Linked DNA regions of Lepisosteus oculatus. The protein of the gene in region 1 interacts with the protein of each later gene in a biochemical or structural test. Links are inferred from orthologs where the notes say so. Each region holds a gene or a part of one and is shown on either strand. Other genes may lie near its edges.

The links.
Region 2: the proteins of hdac4 (region 1) and 14-3-3 protein theta are reported together in a solved structure, tested with the Homo sapiens proteins (2 studies listed by BioGRID, with this or other methods). The link is inferred for Lepisosteus oculatus from reciprocal best matches to the Homo sapiens genes HDAC4 and YWHAQ.

Annotation. Positions count from the first base shown.
Region 1 is NC_090707.1:21,979,227-21,986,357, forward strand, and holds the start of hdac4 (histone deacetylase 4), read right to left. Parts: upstream 3,007-7,131; 5' UTR 2,909-3,006; intron 1-2,908. UniProt on the Homo sapiens protein: Responsible for the deacetylation of lysine residues on the N-terminal part of the core histones (H2A, H2B, H3 and H4).
Region 2 is NC_090697.1:11,938,711-11,946,428, reverse strand, and holds the start of 14-3-3 protein theta, read right to left. Parts: upstream 3,008-7,718; 5' UTR 2,900-3,007; intron 2,047-2,899; 5' UTR 1,811-2,046; coding exon 1,517-1,810; intron 1-1,516. UniProt on the Homo sapiens protein: Adapter protein implicated in the regulation of a large spectrum of both general and specialized signaling pathways. Binds to a large number of partners, usually by recognition of a phosphoserine or phosphothreonine motif.

The sequences.
Region 1 (7,131 bases):
CAAAATACACAAAGTCTGTGTAAAAATGCTTTAGGAATTGTTCAATATGGTACCAGCTTTTAATTGAGTTACATGTATACTAATTCATTAAAAAAAAGAGAGAGACAGCAAAAGGCCCCTGGTTTTTCTAACCATACAGATCACATTCTAAAACCAAAAGGCTGTTATTCTCCAGTGTCTTGTTTTTTTTTAGCTAATTTTGTTTTAAATGTCCCCGTACCCCCCACCCCACCCCAATGTTTACTGTGCTAGACTGGCATAAGCCCAAACTTCTGATAGGATGTGAGACACACTACAGCAGACATTAGAGTCTATTATTAAACAGCAGTAAATGTTCATTATCTGCCTGAACGTAAAATTGATCCGCAATATCCTCAAATAGGTTTCAATTGTTATCCTAAACTATAAAAAGTAAATCACCTATTCCCAAAATGAAGTCATTATTTAAAGTCATACCCTTGTGCCAAGCTGTGTAAGGGATATAAAACATTTGTGTGGTGCCTGGAATTCATGAGTAACAAGTACTCTGGACTCCAAACAAGGCTGGCGTTAAATCCATAGCCAGTCATTATACAGCTGAGATCTTTGCCACAGTATCACACAATAAAACATTTAACAGCTCAATTCTCCTATACGGTGCGACATTCTCCACTGACTATACCGTTGCTTTTCTCACCTGTTCTTGGTTGTCTTTGGATGTCAACGCACAAAGAAAACGAGCTTTCATGAGGCTGTTTTTTATATACTTCAAAACCAGCTTTACGACATCCAATCGGAACAGCATATCCAATCTGTGAGAACAAGCTTGTGACTTTTATAAATAAAAGTTTTGTGTTGGCATGCCATTCGTTGAAAGACCTGCCGAGATAACTGTGCAAATCGATTAACACACTTTCAGTGCTCTGACAGCATAATTTATTTGAACATGGTGAACTCTACTTAAAAGAAGTGACTTTCAGTGTTGGAGCTATCTTTTTCAGAATAAAGGACAGGAAGGCGATGGTTAATTCAAACCACATTTTAAACGAAGTGGAGTAATTGTTTATTTAAAAAAAACAACTGTGATTAAAATAAATTTACAGCAGTAATTTGTAGAAGCCTATTTTCCCCAAGAACAGTCACATTTAATCCTGGTTCAACAGAGCGGGCTTTTCTCAGTTTTTGACATGGGACTGCAATAAAGACACCTAGAAAAAACGCAGACACAATGGCCCTCCAGGACCAGGACTCGATATGTAAAAGTTAGGATTTCCTCAATATTTGTTTTTTTTTTCTCTGGGCCAACACCGAATCAAACACCCACACCACAAAACACTGTCCTCAAGATGTTACAGTCATTCTGCAGACGGTCGATGAAAACGGGACTTTTTGCTGTACTGTTGCAGCTCCTGTGTAATGAGAAGGGCAGTAAATCTTATTTGCTCCTTACTTTTCAGAAATGTCGGGAGAGAAATATTTAACATATACTTGTCATTTCAACATTGACGAAATAAAGTTACGGGTCATCCCCATGGGCCACGTATAAATACACTTTATTTACCAATGTACTGCGCATCTCAAAGCAAATCGCCCAAATAAAAAATTAAGAGGGCTGAATACAAAGAACTGAAGTGTTCTTAGCCCACGAGTATCAATCAAACTTTCATTCATTCGTAAACTGTAGTCTGCGATCCGTGCTCAGTAACGTGATTCTAGAGCCGAGAGACAGCAACATGCTGCTGGCTACCTTATTGTAAGTTTTGGCACGTCCTACGATGCGCATAGTTACAGAATTTTTCTACAGATTTCCACAGTTGCTGTGTACAGCCAACATTGTCCTTCGCATGGGTTACCGTTACACGAAAAGGTACCTGCCATTTCTTAATGCATACCACAGACATGAAGGGATTCATGAAATCATACTTTTCCGTTGGTGCACATCACTGTAACGCTTTTGTTAAGACTACAGTCTGGCGGTGCGTGATCATTTCAGTACAGCCAGCAGTACACTGAAAACAGCCCAAATTCCATGTAAAAACTCCCCTTACTTTACGGTTGATAAACGCCTTGTATTCTCAATGTAAAGTGAAGAATTCGAAAAAACTGTACTGTATACATAATAAGATTTCAATTTAATAATCTTATTGAAAATAAGGACACTTTCCAAATGATTAATAGACCTTAAAACGCCTTTTTTTTCTCCATAAGACAACGTCTTAAAGCAACAATGATACACATCAAGGAGGTTATTATACTGTATGTGCACCAAATTGTAACTACCTGGTTGCTGTACAGACGCACAAAAATATTATTGTACCCTGATCCTTACAATCTGGGAGGGACAGCAGATTAAAAACAACCTACCCTCATTCACAAAAAAATACCGATGCACACTTTCAAAACCGCCCACTCAAATCATCCTTAATATGACTGGTTATTACAGATTTCCCCCCTTTTGGTTGCGAGCATTGATTGGCAAAGGTCTGTGTCAATCATTAAATCTGAGCAGTTACGCCCTCTCGATCCACCAGGAACACAACTCGTATTGTCATAGGCCAGACGGACGGCCAATTACGCGAATGAATCGCCAGACCGCCCAAACATGACGCCTATAGGCCGGCGTCTCTGTCCATCTTCCACTATCTGAGGCTCTTACCTGACACAGATTGGTCGATGTTCATTAACGACCGTTAAAATACCACCCATTCTCCCAAACATTCATGTTCGGTAGAACGGTAGCGATTCAGAAAAAAAAAATGTTGAACGTGAGTGCGACCAACTTAAATACGGTACAAAACACAGTTAAGATACTGCATACCTACCCACAGGCACACATTGTTTTGCTTTTTTTAATACAAACTTGTCACTCAGTGCTTGCTGTGAGCAGAGGCACTTGAAGAGGAGAACGCTACTTTGAATCAATGCTCACCTACCTGCCCCGGGAGGCGGTCACTCCAGTCTGAAAAAAGTAATGTATTTAATTCCCGTTGGAGAGTGCGCCAGCGAAGGAGTCACTCACTGACAGATTCCGCCATACTGGATTTTGGCAAGGGGGATCACGTGTCGCGCTCCTGCATTTGAGTGCGAGGCGGAGCTTAATCCCTACAGTGTCTGAAGACATCAGGCAGTGTTGCAGTAGGTGGTGTACTTTATTGTACCAGCGTTATTAATGTGCTCTTTGAGTGTTTATTGCTTATGTCTTGGTTTTCTCAAAATCACACGGTCATTGAAAGCAATTTTCTCAAAATATAAGAACGTCCCTACGTTTTTTCATACCACATTTCAGAGGATTATTTCTCAAAATAATTGGCGTTTGTTAGTTTTAAACGGGTTTCTAGAAACTAACATCTTTTTTGAATACCTGTGTAAAGCGGTTATTAGTTCTGAGCATAAGCTTAATTATGCATGTTTACTGACTTTATATAATAGGTTGCATTTTTACGATACGTTTTTTTTGCTTAAATGTTCTAAGTTTTTAGCAGGGTATAGAAGTAAACACAAATGAAACACTAAAAGAGCAAAGGATAAATACTTGCTACATCATTTAATACTGTAGTGTTTGTATTGTAACGAAATGTTCCAAGAGAAGAAACCAATCAGCCATTCCATCTTGGTTATTTGGGTGCTAGAAGCTTTTAACTCCCTGCATTCATATAGCCTTTTTCATCCTAAAGAGTTGTAAACATAGGAGTGGGATCCTCTTCATTCACCGCTGAAATGCAGTATTCACCCAAGAGATGCTGCTACAATAAATCAATGCTGCTATTCAATACATTTAGTGTCTGTACATCTAGTTCTTGTTGAATCATATTCCAGAATTCCACAATTGTACAGTTTGTTCCAGACTCCCCCCAACACTTCTAGGAAAGTGCTTCCCCAATTTCAATGCTAAATGTACTCCTTCTCAGAAGCACTTGTTTCAAAGTAGTCATCTACTGTAGGTCAGATTTATTTATTCCTACCATATTTACTAATCCTTGACTATGCCATCTACTGATAATCAAGCCCTGGATCTCAGAAAAAGTCTGAATCCTTCCCCCCTACTCCCGCTCTTAAACAAACGAGTTCTGGGATCAACTTTAAACCCAGAATATTATCAACAATCCCAACCCCACCACCACCACCACCACCATCAACATAACCCAGGTAAGTCAAGGAATAACCAGAAAATGACCATAATAGATGCAGAAAGCCAGAACAGAAGCTGTAATATAATTATATATAAAAATGCAAGTTATAATAAAATCTAAAGAGGCACGGGTAATAATGTCACCACACAGAAACCACATTGGACTCAAAGATAAAATACTGTACAAGTCATCTAATATCCCTGAAATTAGACATGTTCCCCTACTTAATCTATGGTGGTGTAGCAAAGATTATAAAAACAAACATAAGGGAGAAGCCCACAATGAAGCCTCTAATCCAGGTTGATTCTCTAACCTGTAATAGGGGCCACCGCCACTATCAATGGCTCAATGTCCCTAAACAGCCACTTGGCTATAAAAAGATTGGGAATAGTTCCGTCAGCCCCATGCCAAAATCAACAGGATCACTTAGACTCACTCCACCTATGTCAGGACAGATACTCTCACAAGATATTTCTGCTTGTTGGTGAACTGTATGTAACCCAACTTAACCTTGACTAATAACAGGCAACAGTTCCAATTAATTTGACCCATGAATTATCCAACTGTCCTTTGTGTTTCAAAGTATACAAAAACATCCTGGCTGAAAGGCAATGAAATATATAAAAAGCAGTCAGAGTAAAAACAAAATCCAGAATTTGCAATTATACCCCAATACTCTAGTTCCATTCACCATCTTAAATCACATTTCTAGTCACCTGCCCTGCTAATTACTCCAGGTTATTATAGCCAACATTCCCTTCTAACAAATCACTATAAATCTCCCAATTTCCCACTCTTTCTCTCAATACCCAAACCGAATCAATCCCTAATCCATTTACTCCAGCCATCTAATGATTGCAATCTGACCCTTGGAAACTTCAGGGACTTCAGTACTGTACTTTACACCCAATTTTCAAAAAAACAACAACATTGAATTCAAATGTATAAGCCCTGCACAAAACAAGGTGCATAAATCCATGACTAAAAAAATAAACAAACAACTACAAAAGTCTTTAGTGGCAATGGAATGGAGCATTTGGATCATGTCCTCTTGTAGTCTTTCTGTTGCACCATCAACCTGTTCAGCAAATTACAATCACCACCCTGCCATTTCAATGCAAGAACATCACCTTAGAGCCTAAGATGTATTTTCTCCAGCCTCTAGGTCACTGTGACCCAAAAGGCCTCTTAACTTAATCAGCCCATTGCCACTGAAACCTCCCTTTGGAACTCTCACTCTGTTTCCTACCAACCTGAAATCTAGACCCACACTGAGACCCTTTTCTTACTGACTGTTCTTCTACACCTCTCAATTAGTCCAGGGGCGTGGCCACCTCCACACAGAGCCTTTCCTATTTCCCTCACTTTCTCTCTCTGAATGATAATTACTCAATTAGTTCAGGTGGGTAGATGTGTCAGCATGCTTAGGCTGTAAAGGAACAAGTAATAGGTTTATTCCATGCTGAAAAAAAGAAGAAAAAACACAATGTTTTGGCCGTGGAGCCTTCTTCAGGTGAAATTATTGATACTCTCAAACCTATTAAAATACTGTATATCTAACATTTTTCAGATTAAACCAACCCTATCTAAATCCATGTGGATTCAGTTTGTTATACTGGACATATTTATTAACAGTCAACATGACCTTCCAATGTAGATTTTATTTTTTCCTAACCTTGCAAAAAGAGATATAAACGTCGCTGGCATAAAGTCTCTGGTTCAGTGTTCAGCCTTTCCTCTGAATGTATGCATCATCTGCATTTTTTCACTGGGAACACGAGTCATTTGAAATATCCCAGTTAAGGGTACCTGTCACATTCTTTATTTCCTGAAAGACTTATGGACCTGGTCATCAGGTCCAGCCAATTAGTTAACTCTACAGAGAGTTAAGATTATTCAAAACCAAATGGAGCCTAAGGGATGCTGAGCTCTCTTCAGTGAAAACATTTGGTCAATATACCAGTACTTGTTGTTCCTTTTTCATTGTCTACAATTAACAGACTTTCAGTAGTGAAAAAAAAAACTCTTTGTGTTAGTTTTAGCTCCCAGTGCATATTCTTCTCCATTTCTCTCAGCTGTTCTGATGTCAGATTTGACAAATGCAAGCCCCTCACTGTATTATGTTTCTATTGGTCCTGGTTTAAATTAAATGTAATTTTAAAGTGAATTTGTTCTCCCTTAATAATTTGTGCTTTGGGGCTTCCAACATGAAGATATCTTCCACAGAGGAATAATAACCTTTTGATAACCTTCATCCATACACAAATGTTCACTTACAGTACATAATGTTCAGACCACTTGTTGTAAGGACATCAGAAATCTACTAATCAATTTTTGTTTGATAAAGGAGACAGACTCTTCTTTTCAAACATGTTTCTGAATGTGGCATAATCAGAGAGAATAGAAGAGGAAACCCATATACAAAACTGAGCAAAGCCCCACCTATCAAACAAGATATTGTATGATCTCTAATACTCCTACATGAGTTATACGAATATATGCAAGTGCCAATACCCATGTAACATGGCTCCAAGTGTAAAGGAGTAACAATAGATCAATATAAGAATTGCAGTGAAGAGCAATTGTGTACCACTTCTTTTCAGATTTGTATTTGTTCACCATTATGATAGATTTGAATTGAGCATTAAAACATATGACCATCCATTCAATTCTGAAACCGTTAACCTGAAATTTACAATCCATCATTTCCACTGTGTCATTTTCAGGTTTGGACCTTTCAACTTACAGAAAGCATCCTTGTTAAACAAAATACTATCATATAATGAGGCATTTAAGTGTAACCATAGAACATGTAAGAATCAGAATTTCACACCATTGTATAAAACAAAAGATGCCTGGCCTCACAATATAACATTTGCATATGTTTTGCTTGGGGGAAGGAAGAAAAATGAAGTGCTCCATTATTTTTGGATGTTGCATTGTGTTCAAGAAACAAGAAAGAAATATTAAGTTTGATATTGTTTGTTAATTTTACTTTTAATCCATGTCCTGGTCATTTTCC
Region 2 (7,718 bases), on another chromosome or scaffold:
CCAGTAGTCAACTTAGATAGGTCACGAAGAATTAGCCTTTATAAAGTTTTGAGATATGAATCAAATATGTAAATGTGAAATTTAAATCCCACGTTTTCAACATGTATTTTAACGGTTACTCTGTATATTAAACATTAAAGGGCACTTTTTTTTCCCTTCCCAATTTTTTAATTAAAAAAATATAACCTTACAAAAATGGTTCATTACCACTTCAAACCTAATAATAATCCTAAACCGGTGTAATGTACCCGCCTGAGGTAACACTTCAAAGCCCTTCATGTATGAAAGATGTACACACCCTGATATTTAAGGTATGATCCACTTTTTTCCTATCCCACTTTAAAATCTATATTACCACTGAAAACATTGAGCTATAATTTTAGTGTAGCTTACCAAACACCATTTAATTGCATTAAAAGTGCATTTTAATACCACACGTAGAACCCAGGGCCTGGTACAGCTCAAGAAAAGGGAGTGAATTACACTTCAGACGATATAATGAGGATTCAGATGAGTACAATACTTACAATTATCTAACAAAAAATCTTAAAGCACAATTAATACGTCAACAGTAAAACTCAAAGGATACAAATTAAAATACCAACAACCCCAATACACCCACTTCACAATACAAGCACAGTCCTATCACATGTAATTTCTATTGAAGATGTGAATCTCTGCTGAAGGGACTAGGGTAGAAAAATATGAAAAATTAACCTATGAAAACGTCCTTTAAACTAAACCACCACAGCAAGTCATAAAACAATTCAAATTAAAATAAAATCTGACCCGTTTTAAAGTTCCTCAGACCCATCAATAGAATTTCTTGGCCAGAAGACTTGCTGTGCTAATAGCGGGATGCAGAGCTCGGACACCTGCCATCAGGCCCCTGTGTAGCCCACCCAGTGGTGCCCTCGCTCACTGCTGCCCCGTTCCAGTCCTGCTCCTCTATCAACGTGCTGCTCAATCCCCACAGCGTCGGTCAGCCAAACGAAACTGCTGCATCACGTATTGATCTGTGGGAGGCCTGGGTAGGCGATCTGCTGCAACGGGCCGACGACGCCCTCAACAGCCCAGCCTCCCAGCTGCAGATCAGCACGGCCCTGGGACCAGAACTCGGGACTGGCAGCTTCTCTGCTGGACTGGGACTAAGGGCAGCATCGCTCTACTCAAAACACACGACCTCACCAAACACCTCGGTCCCCTGCCAGCCACTGCATGTCTTCCCCAGCCTCTCTCCACATCCCACGCCGAAGGATCAGGGGGAACTCCCACCTTGTGGGGGCGTTCTCCCCCTGCCCTTCTCCAGCAGGGCCACGGATGAGAAATGAAATGAAACCAGGACGGGACTGCATGCTCACCCCACCCCTCTTGCTGCACTACACATTCCTATTAATAATCACCTGACCTCACCCCACCGCGGCGCGCCTGCGAGCGGGCCCCCGGGGTCCGGGGACCCGGCTGGGAGCTGGGAAGGTGATCTGAAGGTAAAGCGGGCAGCGGCGGCGGGTCTCACCAGAACATCGTTGCAGATCTCCCGCAGCTCGGACTCCACCTTCTCCCGGTACTCCTTGACCATCTGCAGCTTCTTGTCGCTGCCCTCGGTCTTCTGCTCGATGCTGGAGATGACCCTCCAGGCGGACCTGCGGGCACCCACCACGTTCTTGTAGGCCACGGACAGCAGGTTCCTCTCCTCGTTGGACAGCTCGGCCCCCTGCTCGGTCACCTCCTTCATGGACGCGGCCATGTCGTCGTAGCGCTCGGCCTGCTCCGCCAGCTTGGCCTTCTGGATCAGCTCCGTTTTATCCATCGCGTCCGCTTCCGATCGTGCGTGTGTGGGAGGGGGAGTGGGGCTGAGGGCAGGATATTCTCTTCGAGGCGCAGTGTTTCAGGACGGGCCGGGTGACCAGCTGCGGGCTGGGGGGGGGGAACCGGGATCGCCGGAGAGCCTGAGCGCTGTCGGTGGTGTCGATGGCCGGGGACGGGGGGACGCGGGGCAAGCAGGTGAGCAGACAGCAGTCGTGCAGGCGACGTCCTGTGGGAAGCCTGCGAGCCGAACGGGAAAGAGGTGGGCAACTGAGGCTGAGCTGCACGCAAGCTACACGCACACACGTCGCGCAAGCATCGAGCCCAAATCCGTGCGCGTCGATCGTACGGTTGTCAAGAAACCCGTCGGGCTGAATCGAGACTGCACGTCTCCAGGCTGACGAGAGACCACCAAAGGACCTGCCATCTTTTTTTTCTCTCTCTCTCTCTCCAGTACTTCTAACGTGACCCAGGGGCGGGGAGGCTGTATCCAACGCGCACACACGCAGGTCCCGTCTCCCTTGAAGAGCAGGGAAACGGGCGGCGGTCAGTCTCCCCCTCCCGGGGCTCGGCAAAGGTTTGCTTTCGGAACAAGCAGCAGCAGCGAGCACCACCCGGAGAGACACGACATCGTACTCCGCTACCCACCCCGGCAATTTGGCAATAATGGCCAGGAAATTCCCCCCGTGTCTTAAGAGGCGATTTCGCCATTGTGTCAGCGCCCAGCTCAAAAAGCGAGACGACACTCGGGTCTCCCCGCCACCGCTGCTCCTTAGCGTTTCGACCCCATTCACGAACCACGCAGGCAGTTATCCGAATAACTCCGCGTTTAAACACAGATTTAGATAAAATGGCGGCTCCTATGAGCCGAAAACCAATTCCCGAGACAGTCTTTTTTTTCTCCCCTTGTGTGACAAAATGGATGCGGCAAACCCGAACCGCCATACACGCCAGGTCCGATATACCACACGGTTATCGGGTTCAATAAACGCAAGCCCTTCAACAAACGGCACATTCACGTCGCTTCCCCCAGCACAACCCTCCTTACTGCGCCCCTAAAATACGAGGGAAGCAGCGCCAAACCTCCGCTTACCTCCGTACCGCTCCTCCGAGCTGATCCGCTTTAGGGCTGAAGAGAGGAAAGGAGCCCAGCCGCCAGTCTCAACCGAGCACGAGAGCCGAGGCGGGGCCAGGCGAGCGCGAGCCCCAATGAGAGAGTGAGTCCCGCACCGCTCGACCGTTACAGTTCAAAAATGCTCGCCAGTAGCACCGCAGCGCGCGGAAGAAGGCGGGCTTTAAATGGGCAAGTTCGACTGGCCTGTAGGCTGCGGCTGGGGCCACGGGGTTTCCTCCAATTAGAGCAAGGGAGAAGACGTCACCATTGCCATGGTTATCCAGCACCCCCCCTCCTCCTCCTCCTCCTCCTACTCCACCACCGCTGAATGTAGCACTACTGTAGTGACAGTCGGCATCAGTGAGGCCCGGGAGCGGGCGTGGTGGATGAGTGTGTCTCACTCAGAGGCTGGCGGCACTCATCTCTTGCAAGCGGGGAGCCAGCCAAAAGCCCCCCTGTGGACCCTCTGACCATGCCCACCCCTATGATTGTAGCTTCGCGTATTTCATTCCCCCGGCTTTGAATGAATAGATGAGCGGTACCATATTTATTCAAAATAAGAGGGCGCTCAGTCGAGCGAGGGGAGACGTGAGAGGGGTGGACCGCCGGTGGTATTTATACTATAATCATTTATATCGCATACCTGTTCAGAACGAAAACGGGGGGGGATGCGTTTCAAGATATTTGAACATTTCCTCCGGACGGATATTTAAGGAGGACGTGTCCGGTGACATTCGAATACAAAATTTGGGATTACAATTCTTAAACCCTAAATTATCGGAAAGTAGGTTTCAAATGACGTTTAAGCAAGGAGCTGTCATATTCTCACGATTCCATGAAATACAAGGATGGTAGCAGGTAAAATCCCAAATCTGGCCTCAAGACCAGGGTGCAGTAAGTTTGGTGGGACTCCAATGTCCTGTGACAAACAATACAGTACTTCCTAATCATAAACACTGTGGTTTGAGGGAGTTTCGCTCAAGGAGGTAACTTTCAAAAATATATTTACATTTTCTTTGCCGCGTTGTAGCTGTTTGGTGAGAAATGATCATGCTAAATAACAGATAATAGGAACAATACATTTGTATTATAGTTGTAATAAAGTTGGTCTCACAGAAACTCTACGCCAGTCCGAGGGAGTCATTTCCGGTGCTAATCCTACAGGGACATCCCCACCAGTTTATACAGAATAATAGTCAAGGATCCAGAATCTTCCCCAGTTTGAAAACTCATGGCTTAAAGCATTTCTGCTATGGTCTGAAGGTCTGCCTACGAGGATTTCCAGTAGTGTGATTAATAGCTTGTTCCAGGATCTGTGGAGTTATTGTGTGACACAGCCGAACTGAGAATATCGTCAGCACTTTTTTTCCTGCGGAGAAGGTGGCACCTGCAGCAGCACAATGGCAGTTGAGCACAACTGACTTTTATTCAGCGCTTCACCCTCTCTGGATTAGACGCTGTTAGACGCCCACCCTCCCCCTCGTGAGCCCTCCCATGCCATAAAGGAAAACTGTCATCTGATATTTCCTCACCTGTGCTCAGCTCCGAGTCGGACGTTAATCATTAGCCCTGCTCGAGATCTAAATTACACTCCTAGCTGTTGGCCGAGCAGGAATCTTGACCAATCCCAAAACACCAGTGTGGGGACAGGATAAAGCTTGTTTTCACGTGCGCCAGACCTGCCCTTCGACTCCTCGTCGACAAAGGAGCACCTGGGGTGTAAGAAGAAGTGGACCGATGAGGCATGTTTTAAATATCCTGTTTCTTACAGTGCTGGATTCAGATCAGGTTGCTGCCATTACAGATCCAATTGTCCTCCAAACATTTTGTAGTCTAAACAAAAAGCTACAATTTAAAAGCTGCCTTTAGCTTTAGCTGAGGAAGGGTGAGATGCGTGTTGGAGGTATGATAACTAATACTTTTGCAAACAAGTTGAACTGAACTGTTTGAAAAGCCTGTGACGCACAGCCTCAGAATGAGACCCAGGAGGTCCCGTTGGTTTTGATAATCACATTGCAGAACAGTTTGATTAAACGCTCTCCCCTTGACCCACGCGTCACGATAGCTCAGTCTGTAGGCACAGAGCTCCAGAATAATCACTGCACTTGTTGCTTAAAACAAAATGGTGATTGCCTTCCTTATAGGAACATCTGAAGAAACCAAGCTGCAGATTTCAGATTTGCTGCCATTTCCTCTGCAGGAACAGTACACAGATGAATAACACTATGAAATTAATCTTAATAACTCATGTTTTATTGGTATATGAGAATGGTGTTTAATTGGGCTTTATGATTTCATTTATTGTGAGCCATTCAGCAAGACATCCTGTGTTCCCCAGTGTCCCTGTCAAACAGTATGCACAGGTGGTAGAGAAAACTGTGATTTTCTGTTTAATAAGACTAACATAATTTTTTTAACAGAACATCCATTTTGTAGTGATTTATGGGAATAAAAGTCTCTTGGCAACCGTAAAAAGGGATGATTAAAGGTTTGCCAACCCCTTTCTAATATGCAGGTATTGCTTGTATAAACCTCCATTTCTGTTAGTTTTATTCCTGACTTCAGAGGAGATAGAAAGAAAGAGAACTTCCTAAGAATCACAACTCTGGTTCCTTGGTAGTAAGCACTGCTTGATGTGTAAAATGTTCATTTTAGGGGCTTCATGATTCTGAGCAAGGCTCAGTCAGCCCTATGTACCTCAGTGAGATGTGCTGCTGTTCTCTTGACATCAGTCCAAGCATTCCCTTTCCAAACTACATTCATAATATTGCTGGCAGAGGCCCTTTTGATTACAGATAAGCATATTTAGAAATGCTTTGCCTGACAGAGAACTTTGACTCCTATTCAGTGAACTCTGTATGCAAAACTCTGTATCTTGGAAGATTCAAATGGTGCTTTATAAAATGCTAGATTTTGACAAAAGGATTTAGATGGCAGGCACACTTTCCCAACCTTCCACACTCATTATGATTTAGCCCACGTGGATTAACTGGTAAGACTCTTCATCTTTGGAGGAAGAAAAACGTCAGAACTGTCTTATAGGCAGCCATGGTGAGGGTTATGAAGACTGAAACTCCTTTGATCTCCCTATTGTTAGATGAGGCAGGAGGTTCTCCTCTTGACAGTGGCAAAATGAAATGGTAAAATTCAAAATCACAAACTGACTGTCATTGGTAAAGGCCAATGGCGAATTTGGCCAGGACACTGGGGTAATACCCCTACTGTTTTCAAGAAACCCTGAGATTTTTAATGACCACAGAGGGTCAGGACCTCAGTTTTATGTCTCATCCAAAGGAAGGTGCTTTTTTACAGTATAGTGCCCATCACTATACTGGGGCATTAGGACCCACATGGACCACAGGGTGAGCACCCCCTACTGGCCCCACTAACACCTCTTCCAGCAGCAACTTTAGTTTTTCCCAGGAGGTCTCCCATCCAGGGACTGACCAGGCTCACACTTGCTGAGCTTCAGTGGGCTGCCAGTTGTGAGTTGCAGGGTGATGTGGCTGCTGGTAGGCAGCTAGGGCTGTTGGAGGTGCAAAAACTCTAGATGGGGCAATCGTGTGGTAACCTCAAGCCAGGTACAGTATGTCACAAGGTAAGCAAGGTAAAATTCCAGGCTGTATAAACTTTGTTCGTGTGGGCTACAGGTGTCAGTCAAATAATAAAAATAAGTTGTGGGGTGCGTATTTCGTGAGTCTTCAAGTTCGGATTCGCCAGCTGCCAGGAGGTGGCGATTTGTGCTGCCACGATCCAACATGAACTCCTGCCACCCTCTGGTGAGAGGCCTTTTTTCCATTTTGCTCTCAGAGAGGTCGCCCCTTTTAGAGAGCCATTATATTTTTACCGTCAAACCGAAGCAAAGGGGCATTCATCCACTCAGACGACCGTCTTTAAAAAAATCTGAAAAGGAGCAGCGCTGATACCAACAAAGACCTCTTCCTCTTAAGTTATTACCATAGCAGTGCGCAGCCATGGCAACCTCAAGTGAGTGGAGCACTGCAATGCTTTGTACGTACTTTCCACAGCGCAGTGATATGAGTGTCACAGACACAGCAGTACCAAAGGCAGAGACATAAGAATCAATGCGTCCACGTTTAGTTTCAGATTCGTTTGTAAAGGATCAGGGTTTGGTTTGCAGAACACATAGCGAGGAAAAAAAAAAAGCTATCTCGGCGATTTTCTGATCCTGGCAGCCGGTTAGTAGGCAGAGGAACAAATGGCATTCCCGTAGGATGGGTGAAAAACACACCGTTCCCACTCTCCTGCAACATGTGCTTGGCCGGTCTTTTTGCAACTGTAGTGCTTCGCTCTGAAACATGAACATGGCCAAGGCACCCTTCAGGTGAGAGGCGCAGAAAAGGAATGTCTATTTACCCAACATCATGGTGGCCCTAAAGGCTTGTGTAGCGGACCTAGTTCGGATACGGTGACGTCATCGTCCCTCACTGCGCGTAGCGGGGACCTCAGCCGTCTGGGCTGGGGGAGGTCTCCTTTAGCTCATGCGGCTGGTTCCCTGTTGTGTTATGCTGGAGCCCTGGGTTCGCTCCCCAGGCGTTGCAGGACGGAATGGGGTGGCAGAGGGCATGAGGCCGTGCGGAACCACAACAGTCACACTTGCACACATAAAGACAGCAGACCTTGTGACCTAAACCAAAGATTAATCCATCCGTCCATCTATTTTCTGACCGCTTTGTTTCCTATCTGGGGTTGCGGGGGAGCCTATCCCAGCGAGCAACAGGCAGAAGGCAGGACACACCCGGAATGGGCCAGCAATCCACACATTGACGCAACAAAC